3 linked regions of the Saccharomyces cerevisiae S288C genome follow. The protein of the gene in region 1 purifies or fractionates together with the protein of each later gene. This does not show direct contact. Each region holds a gene or a part of one and is shown in the gene's direction. Other genes may lie near its edges.

Region 1 (3,760 bases):
GAGCCAAAGCTTTGGTAATATGACCAATGTTTTGAACACCACCATCAGCCATACATGGAATACCGAATTGGTTAGCAAATTCACACACGTTGTAGACGGCTGTACCTTGTGGTCTACCACAGGCCATAACTTCTTGAGTGATACAAATAGAGCCTGAACCCATACCAATTCTTAAACCATCGGCACCGGCAGCAATCAAGTTAGCAGCTTGTTCTCTGGTGGCAACGTTACCAGCAATGATTTCCAAATCTGGGAAAGTTTCTTTAATCCATTTGATCATGTTCAATTGGAAAATAGAGTTACCTTGAGAGGAATCTAAGATAACAACATCCAAACCTGCTTCGACTAATAGTCTTAACCTTTCCTTATCAGCATCGATAGTACCGATAGCAGCACCACATAACAGTTGCTTGGTGGTGGCAGATTTAGAAGCCAATGGATAGTTCTGATTTTTCATTAAATCAGTTCTGGAAAGCATAGAAACTAAGTTACCATTGTCGTCAACAATCAATAGCTTACCCTTTTTAATCTTCTTTAAAATTTCATTACCTTCAGACAATGTAATACCTTGTGCACCGGTGACAGGGTTTTTGGTCATAACATCTTGAACAAGCAAAGAGTTGTCTTCAACGAACTGAATATCACGAGAAGTGACGATACCCATCAATTTTCCGTTTCTTTTACCATCTTCTGTAACGGGGAAACCGGAAAATCCAAATCTTTCCTTCATACTCTTAGCTTCACCCACAGTAGTAGTTGGGGAAATCACTATAGGGTTGTTAATAAACCCATTTTCATAGTTCTTGACTCTTCTGACCATGTCAGCTTGGTCCTCTGGGGTACAGTTGTGGTGAATAAAACCGATACCACCCAACAAAGCCATGAAGATGGCCATTTCTGATTCTGTCACGGTGTCCATTGGAGAGGAAACGAATGGGGTGTTCAAAGTGATATTCCTTGTCAACTTAGTTTGTAGGCTAACTTCAGAAGATGGGAAATCAACCAGACCTGGCAAAACCAAAAAGTCGTTATAAGTCAACCCACCTCTGGTCTTGGAGTCCATCAACTCCTGGACAGACAAACCATCTAGTCTTGGTAAGCTCTTGGCGAATTCCAAGGCAGTCTTGTAGTCTCTAACGGCGGCCATTGCTTTTACTACTTTCGGAGTTATTAATTGCACTGATAATATTTACTGCTGTTAACCTGTCGATGACTTCTTTTCCTTAGAATAAAAGTGAGACAGATGAGATGACGTGCTTTTCTGCGAGTTTAGAAAGTCTTTCTAAGTTAAGTTATATAGAAGCAAGAAAGAAAAGAAATAGAGTAAAAAAGAGAAAGTTCCCAGTACACTAGGTGAAAATGCACAAGCCCACGAAACTGGAGTAAACCTCCAAGGGTCCCAACACTCAAAAATCTTGTTGGATCTCGGAAGGGCAAATTATTCAACTATTTATACCTTTCTATTTCTTCTTTTTTTTTTTTTTTTTTTCAGTGAAAAATTTTTCATTTTTCGGAAAAAGAAACGTGTGCGGCTTTGAAGGCTAATATTTATGTAATTAACCAGAGTTAGAAATGAACACAATAGTGGTTAAAGAAGCCACTGGGTCACTGGAAAAAAGTACATCTTGTTAGCCATCAAGTAACAGGTTTATGTATTGGGAATTATGGTTTTTCAAGTTCCCTTGTCTCTTTTTTCCCGATATCCTAGCCCTAGGACAACTTGTAGGGTATCAGCGCATATGTTCAAAAAATTTAAGGGCGTAAGCTCTGGCGTTTAGGTGCGCAATTAACAAAAGGTATAGATAGTCTTTTTATAGTGTAAATCATATACAAATAATAGAACACAGAGAACGTCTGTATATATCTATTGGAGAACCGGCTAAGGAATGGAAAAGTGAAGGATAGAGTACGTTTTAGTTCAAGTGATTATTTTCGTTTTCTTGTTCCACATTTTAACCTCGTTGTTCTATAAGGTAACAAAATAAAGTGAAGAAGTAAATATGGAACTGAATCAGGTTTTAGAAAAAAAGGAGCAGATTCTGCAATACTTAGGCACTCTGGTCGGGCTTCACGAAAAAGCGTTGTCTGATGTAAATTCGGCTTCCCAGGTGACAAGCATCCGGAAGGATATCACTATTTGCTTAAACGATCTATGCAGAATTAATGATCTCTTAGTATCCCATGATGGTCTATTGAAAAGAGAAATTGGGTCCTTACTTCGAGACAAACAAGAGCTACTAGAACTGAACGAAAGAGAGCAGCTTCTTTGGAAAGAGCGGAAGTCGTGGCATATTAAGCAAGAAACCGATGCTGCGCCGGCGGACTATGTTATCGATAAGGACGCCATAATTACCATTTCATCGCACCACCGGACATCACTAAACAAATATATCGAGTCAGTGGGGGCAGAAAATACAATACTATCCAATACGGATGATTCGGATGCAATGATCGAGGAAGTACAGAACGCTGAATCTTCTGCGGATCAAATGATACGTAATTACAAACTGTTACAATTATCTCATAAGCAAGCTAAATCAGAAATAATAAGGCTGGAAACTTTATTAAGAGACTTCAAAAAGGACAATAAATTCATTGAAGAGGAGTTAAAAAGGCAATCTGGACGGATACGTTCCGAAATGGGTAATATTGATTTTCATTTGTCCAAGATAGAGGAATCTAAGCATCAATTAATGAAAAGAATAGGATTCGAGTCGCCCCTGACACAGGAAAAATCACTATCAGAAAAGATATTCAATTTAAGGCTGTCCAGCGCGGATGAAGATTACAATGAGAGACAAACTATCAACATGAAAAATTTTGTTCATATGAAGGATCTCATAGAACTGAAAATTGAAGATCTACAAGAGCAACTAATGAGAAATAAAAATGAGTCTTCTACAGTACTAACGCAACGTGAATTATGGCTAGATTGTCAAAAAAAAGTAGGAGATTTGGAAAGCAAATTAATAACCAAACTTCGGAGCAGCAGCAACTCCAAAATACCTCCAAATGAAATGTCAGAAATGATCAATTCTACAATACAGTACCTAAATAACCTTCTTGACTCTTCTGATGAAAAGCTCACGACAACTTTAATATCAAACGAAAGGGACGTACTTTCGAAAGCTTGTGAAGAACTCCATAGCGAAAGTACCACTGCACAAGATGGGTCAAGCGCACTACCTTCTAAACCAATTGATATACACAAAAGCCATAAAGGGTCGAACGCGAGTTCAAATTTAAAACAGCCCTCGACTCCCTCATTCTTGGTTGCTAGCAAATCGCCACCAAAGATTGGCATTTCTGAAAGTGTAGTAAACGCTAATAAAAATGATGCCATATCAAAAAAAGTTGAATGAAATGCAAATAGCTAGAGTAGCCATGAGGATAATGTAAATTTAAACATTGTATGCCCACGTAATAGTCAAACTCTTTCACGTCAAATTGAAAAAAAATGTTCTTTTTGCTGAAATAATGAAAAATAATGAAAAATAATGTTGCTATTAAATTCAATATAAATGTATACACCAATATATATGCAGGTATAATTCCTAACACTTTTACTTCAAGATCATGATCTAGGCTTTCTTTTTTTTGGGATAAATGGGCTAGATGAAGCATTCCGTCTCGAACTGTTGCGTGTGCCTGTGGGCCCACTACCAGGTCCTTTGAATGCTGAAGATTGTGGTTGCGGATGGGGGTTTAAATCATATGGATCTTCTGCCTCAGCAGGATAGCTGTCTTGCGGATGGGCGGG
Region 2 (3,760 bases), on another chromosome or scaffold:
CAACTATTACAACTACAATAATTACGATTATCACAGGAACAAGAATGGCAGCCATAGCGACCTCGTTAATCTGCAGAGATCTAATGTCCCGTATATGCAAGAAGACGGTGCACTGTACCCACACCAATATTCAAGTCCCTCATACTCGCTCCATCCGACGGGCAACCAATTCTCCAATGCTACTAATAACTTACCTCAATTTGGGAACGCGATGTCAATTTCTATGCAACTGCCCAATGGCAACAGCAATAAAACGGCCTCAAGCATGAACACAAACCCTAACACAAACATGATCATGAATTCTAACATGAACATGAACATGAACGTAAATCCAGTACCATACGGAATGGGAAACGGTGCAAATATGTATGACGTGTCCAGGATGATGACTCCTCCCTTAAATATAGCCCCGAATTCCAATAATTCGAAATCGAGCATCATGAACAAGCATCCTAATAGGAACAATGTTCCGCCAATTCATCCTTCTCTTCTACATTGATTACAAAAGACAAAAAAAGAAAATTTTAATCTTGTCCGCAGTTTTATCTGCGTCTCTACGTTCTTACGTTTCTTCTATTAATGCCATTTCAGTTACAACCTAGTCAATTGTCGATCCATAATTCTAATCAAATTTGTTTTTCCTCTATACTACCTATCTATTTTTATCTATCTAAGTACATTTATTTACTCAAACAGTTCCGTTTCAAAGTGTTTTATATTAACTATATATGCGAAAAGCTGGCGTCATAATTTCACGTGTTATAATAGCCATGCTGACGGAAAAAAAATGTGAAAATCGCTACAAAGTCCGATGACTACGGGCAGTAGCATGTAAATGATGGACACACACACACACATATATATATATATACATTTACTTCAATAAAAGGCTGTGCCAGACATTTTTGCCATACATTGTTCATGAAGTGTGCAAAATAAGAGAGTGTATAATAGGATAAAAAATGGTCAAATCGCTACAGCTAGCCCATCAATTAAAAGACAAGAAAATACTACTAATCGGAGGCGGAGAAGTCGGCTTGACAAGGTTATATAAGCTGATACCTACAGGTTGCAAGCTGACTTTAGTATCTCCTGACCTACACAAATCCATTATTCCGAAGTTTGGAAAATTCATCCAGAACGAGGATCAGCCCGACTACAGAGAAGACGCTAAACGCTTTATCAATCCGAACTGGGACCCCACGAAGAATGAAATTTACGAGTACATCCGCAGTGACTTCAAAGACGAATACCTCGACCTAGAAGACGAGAACGACGCGTGGTACATAATAATGACCTGTATACCCGACCACCCTGAAAGCGCAAGAATATATCACCTTTGTAAGGAAAGATTCGGTAAGCAGCAGCTGGTCAATGTGGCGGACAAACCTGATCTCTGTGACTTTTATTTCGGCGCCAACCTGGAGATAGGAGACCGTCTACAGATTCTGATCTCTACCAACGGCCTTTCTCCGCGCTTTGGCGCTCTAGTAAGAGATGAGATCCGTAACTTATTCACACAAATGGGGGATCTGGCGCTGGAGGACGCTGTCGTCAAACTAGGTGAGCTGAGAAGAGGAATTAGGCTGCTGGCACCAGACGACAAGGATGTCAAGTACCGCATGGATTGGGCCAGACGCTGCACAGACCTCTTCGGCATTCAGCACTGCCACAACATCGACGTAAAACGTCTGCTGGATCTTTTCAAGGTCATGTTTCAAGAACAGAACTGTTCCTTGCAGTTCCCTCCCAGAGAACGGTTGCTTAGCGAGTACTGCTCGTCTTGAGCGACAGGGCCTCCTCTTTTAAGGGGCGCGTCCTTTCTATTGTGTAGAGAAAATCTACTGGGATTTTGTATATATTTCGCATATATAGGGGTTGGAGAACGAACAACAATGCCTGTTCAGATCAACTTTTCTTCTATCTTATCAGGCAAGATCAGGCACACAACCCAACTATAATAACTATAAACACTTATAGAACAATTACCGTTTCTTCCTTCACACAACATGGCTTCTACTTCGAACACGTTCCCTCCAAGCCAAAGCAATTCTTCCAACAACCTTCCAACTTCTAGACATGCATCCATTGTGGAGATGCTGTCTACTCCGCCATTGCTGCCCCACGTTCAAGTGAACGATACAGACGACAAGGAACAACCAGAAGAGTCCACGCCGCCAACAGCAACAGCGGCAGCGCCTGGTCCAGGTTGTGCTGCTACACCCGCCCCCTTGCGCGATGAAAAGCCTCAATTCAAACTATCAGCTGTTCCTATGACCCAGACGCCATCGCAGTGTCTGTCATGTGTGCACGCCCAAAAATGGCAACACATACCGTTGTCGCAATTGATCGAACAGAATAAGCTTATTTTTGTTCCAGGTTCCATATCGGTAGAGGAGGCATTCAACACTTTGATCAAGTATCATCTAAACTCTATTCCCGTGGAATCTTTCCCCGGCGACATGAACTGTTTTACTTTCGACTACAATGACCTTAATTCGTACCTTTTGCTGGTTTTGAATAAAATCACCGTCAGCAACAAACAGCTTACTGCAGATTGCCAGAATGGAAAACCCGTACCAGTGGGCGAAATGGTGAAACTAACTCCTAAGAATCCGTTCTATAAGCTGCCGGAGAATGAGAGTTTGTCCACGGTGATGGGGATTCTCGGTTCGGGTGTCCATCGTGTAGCGATAACAAACGAAGAGATGACCAAAGTTAAAGGTATTTTGTCCCAACGTCGTTTGATAAAGTATCTTTGGGACAACGCTAGATCTTTTACAAGCTTAGAACCTCTATTAAACTCCTCATTACAAGATTTGCACATCGGTGTTCTCAATATTCAATCTAAGCCAACTTCAAGACAATCCCGTGTCATCTCTATTCAAGGCGAGGAGCCCTTAATCATGGGCCTTTATAAAATGCATGTGGAAAGAATTTCTTCCATTGCAGTCATCGACAAACAAGGTAATTTGCTAGGTAACATATCGGTAACGGACGTAAAACATGTCACAAGAACCTCCCAATACCCCTTACTACATAAGACATGTCGCCATTTCATTTCTGTCATTTTAAACTCCAGAGGATTAGAAACGGGTAAAGATTCTTTCCCCATTTTTCACGTATACCCCAGTAGTTCACTAGCAAGGACTCTTGCCAAGTTAGTTGCTACAAAGTCTCATAGACTATGGATCGTACAACCGCCGGAGTCGTCAACCTCGGCGTCATCCACAAATTTAACAGCTGCTAATACTGCAGCCAATGCAGTTTCTGCCACCGCTCAATCGTCTGCTAATGGTGCGACTCCAATGTCAAAGTCATCCTCTTCAACATCCCTCAACTCCCACTCTCCGTTGATGACAGCAATGGAAGACCCACCATCCCCACGTTCTTCGGCCATCGCGATCCCACCACCAAGTCCCGCTTCCTCAACAAACACACCAAACCTATTCGAAAAGGAATATAGAACGGGTAAGTTGATCGGTGTGGTCTCATTGACAGACATCATCAACTTATTAGCAAGGAAACAAACAGGGAATAAAGAAGTGGATCCGCAATCCGCAAGAAGACAGAGAGGCAGTATCGCCATGTGAGGCTTGCAGCGTTGTCTTTTCCCGCTGTTTCCCTCTCCCTCAAAAAAAAAAATCTTTTACAATGACTAAAAGAAAATATTGTTCATTTATATGGTTTTAAGTATTTTGTAGACATTTAAGCGTATATACTTGTTCTGAAAACATTTATATATTCTATTTTGTATATT
Region 3 (3,208 bases), on another chromosome or scaffold:
ACTGCACGAAGGTAAAAATAAATCGGATGAATTACATCTGGATACATCCTATTTGGATGTCCAGGAGGTTCATATTGATGGTTCCAAGGCAGATTTTCAAATTGAGCAAAGAAAGGAGCCATTGGGCTCCAGGTTAGTCATCAATAACGCTTCTTGCAACGATAACTTTACCTTGAATATTCAATTTCGTACGACTGACAAGTGCACCGCTTTGCAATGGTTGAACAGCAAGCAAACCAAGGGCGGTAAACCGTACGTGTTTTCACAGTTGGAAGCTATTCATGCGAGGTCTTTGTTCCCCTGCTTTGATACTCCCTCTGTGAAGTCTACTTTCACTGCATCTATCGAGTCCCCACTACCAGTGGTTTTTTCAGGCATCAGGATTGAAGATACAAGCAAGGATACTAATATTTACAGATTTGAACAGAAAGTCCCTATCCCAGCCTACCTGATCGGTATTGCTTCCGGTGATTTGTCAAGCGCTCCAATTGGACCTCGTTCCACAGTTTACACTGAACCATTTCGTTTGAAAGATTGTCAATGGGAATTTGAAAACGATGTAGAGAAATTCATTCAAACTGCAGAGAAAATTATCTTTGAATACGAGTGGGGCACTTATGATATCTTAGTTAACGTCGATTCGTACCCTTACGGCGGTATGGAGTCTCCGAATATGACTTTTGCTACGCCCACCTTGATTGCACATGACAGATCCAACATTGATGTCATCGCCCATGAACTTGCTCACTCATGGTCTGGTAACTTAGTGACCAATTGTTCGTGGAATCATTTTTGGTTGAATGAAGGTTGGACCGTTTACTTAGAAAGAAGAATTATTGGTGCCATTCATGGCGAACCAACTAGACATTTCAGTGCTCTGATTGGTTGGAGCGATTTGCAGAATTCTATTGATTCTATGAAAGATCCTGAAAGATTTTCCACTTTGGTACAAAACTTGAACGATAACACTGACCCTGACGATGCCTTTTCCACTGTTCCGTACGAAAAGGGGTTCAACTTACTATTTCACTTGGAAACTATTTTGGGTGGTAAGGCTGAATTTGATCCATTTATTAGACACTATTTCAAGAAGTTTGCCAAAAAATCATTGGATACTTTCCAGTTTTTGGATACTTTGTATGAGTTCTATCCCGAAAAGAAAGAAATTTTGGATTCCGTTGACTGGGAAACTTGGCTGTATAAACCAGGTATGCCACCAAGGCCTCATTTTATTACGGCTTTGGCTGATAATGTTTATCAATTGGCTGACAAGTGGGTCGAAATGGCTCAACATTTGAAAACCACAGAGGATTTCCGGTCTGAATTTAACGCTATTGACATTAAGGATTTTAATTCAAATCAATTGGTTTTGTTCTTGGAAACTTTGACACAAAATGGCCATTCCAACAAGAAACCAAAAGATTTTGACTGGGCCAAGTTTCCCGTGGCATCTAGGGCACTGTTAGATATCTATCAAGATAACATTGTTAAATCACAGAACGCGGAAGTTGTTTTCAAGATGTTCAAATTTCAGATCTTTGCCAAGCTGCAAGAAGAATATAAGCATTTGGCCGATTGGTTGGGAACTGTAGGTAGAATGAAGTTTGTCCGTCCCGGTTACAGACTATTAAACTCTGTAGACCGTCGATTGGCACTTGCAACTTTCGACAAATTCAAGGACACGTATCATCCAATCTGTAAAGCTCTTGTGAAACAAGATTTAGGTCTTTGAAAAGGGACGTGTCGTAACATGAATACGTAAACAATTAAATATAACCTACTAATGAGCCTTCATTGCTACTTCTCTGGTTCTAATTAGTGGCGGAGTTCTGTGTCGTGCGATACGAATTTTGCACTTTTGTCACATGCAATCGAGGCAAAAAGAAAAAATAAATAATAACAACGAATATAAATACAAATCGAAAGAATTCAGATTGAATTCAATATTGCAGGGCTTTGAACACTGAGTTTGGAACTATCAGCCGTCAAATACGCATAAAATAACATCAAATACTCCAATAATGAATCAGTTAGGAGCTTTAGCCGTAAGTTCTAAATTGTAAACACATTTGCATCATTGAAAAACTATACTAACGCGTTAACCTTTTTTCTATATTTCTATAGCAAGTTTCACGTTTCACTCAAAACTTCTCCATGGAAAATATTAAGAGCGAGTTCCAATCCTTGCAATCTAAATTAGCAACCCTTCGCACCCCGCAAGAATTTTTCAATTTCAAGAAAATTTCCAAACCTCAAAACTTTGGGGAAGTTCAATCCAGAGTGGCGTATAACCTGAAGTACTTTTCCAGTAACTATGGTTTGATTATTGGTTGTTTGAGCATTTACACATTATTAACAAACTTGTTGCTACTCTTTGTTATTGTTCTAGTCGTAGCTGGTATTGTTGGTATAAACAAACTAAAGGGTGAGGAGCTCGTAACTCCATTTGGTTCTTTCAAGACCAACCAACTATACACCGGACTGGTTTGTGTTGCTGTGCCAATAGGTTTCTTAGCTTCGCCAATCTCAACTTTGCTATGGTTGATCGGTGCTTCTGCCGTCAGCGTTTTCGGACATGCATCATTGATGGAAAAACCCATCGAAACTGTATTTGATGAAGAAACTGTTTGAACACTCCTACAAGTGTTGGGAAAAGGAGTCATTCTTTTCTATTGTGTATTTTACTCTTCTTCAATATTTAGTTAATTCTTGTCTTTTATTCTCTTTCTCCGTCAACATTAGTATTTAATTGTATACAGACACCATTCATAATTGCAGTTAGCTTCTCTGTTCTTTCTCATTCCTAGGATTTACAATGCAGTCTTACCTTATTTGTTTATGTTTTTTTCGTTTATCAAGCGTGCAATCAATTACTGAAGATTCACGTGCCAAAACGTAAAAATAATAATAACATAACCCGAGAGAGGCAAGATTAGAATCAATTCATCTTTTCAAACAAATGGTTATATCGACTAAGCGAAGTGATTAGATGGTGTACGTCGCAGATATTCAACAGTGACGAATTATATGCGATTGTAAGATTGATTGGCAAATCGTATTCCATTACTACTATTAACAACTGATGGCATCTAGAAGGTAAAAAGGGTCAACGTAGATGAGGTAGAGTTTGAGCTTAGGGCCCTGCCGAGTTTTCATTAGAAGACCTCTACTACACTTCAAAATGAAATACCCCTGCATCACCAGATTC

The links.
Region 2: the proteins of ATG23 (region 1) and SDS24 purify together in Saccharomyces cerevisiae (affinity purification with mass spectrometry, with the first as the bait; one large-scale study listed by BioGRID). This does not show direct contact.
Region 3: the proteins of ATG23 (region 1) and YIP3 purify together in Saccharomyces cerevisiae (affinity purification with mass spectrometry, with the first as the bait; one large-scale study listed by BioGRID). This does not show direct contact.

The regions. Positions count from the first base shown.
Region 1 is NC_001144.5:999,944-1,003,703, reverse strand, and holds ATG23 (Atg23p), read left to right. Parts: upstream 1-2,000; coding exon 2,001-3,362; downstream 3,363-3,760. Other genes in the region: IMP dehydrogenase IMD3, read right to left, coding at 1-1,147; DNA/RNA helicase SEN1, read right to left, coding at 3,575-3,760. UniProt on the Saccharomyces cerevisiae protein: Required for cytoplasm to vacuole transport (Cvt) vesicle formation and efficient autophagy. Plays a role in ATG protein retrieval from the pre-autophagosomal structure (PAS) and is especially required for autophagy-dependent cycling of ATG9.
Region 2 is NC_001134.8:649,406-653,165, forward strand, and holds SDS24 (Sds24p), read left to right. Parts: upstream 1-2,009; coding exon 2,010-3,593; downstream 3,594-3,760. Other genes in the region: NGR1 (Ngr1p), read left to right, coding at 1-499; bifunctional precorrin-2 dehydrogenase/sirohydrochlorin ferrochelatase MET8, read left to right, coding at 963-1,787. UniProt on the Saccharomyces cerevisiae protein: Involved in DNA replication and cell separation during budding.
Region 3 is NC_001146.8:543,247-546,454, forward strand, and holds YIP3 (Yip3p), read left to right. Parts: upstream 1-2,021; coding exon 2,022-2,045; intron 2,046-2,124; coding exon 2,125-2,631; downstream 2,632-3,208. Other genes in the region: LAP2 (bifunctional aminopeptidase/epoxide hydrolase), read left to right, coding at 1-1,732.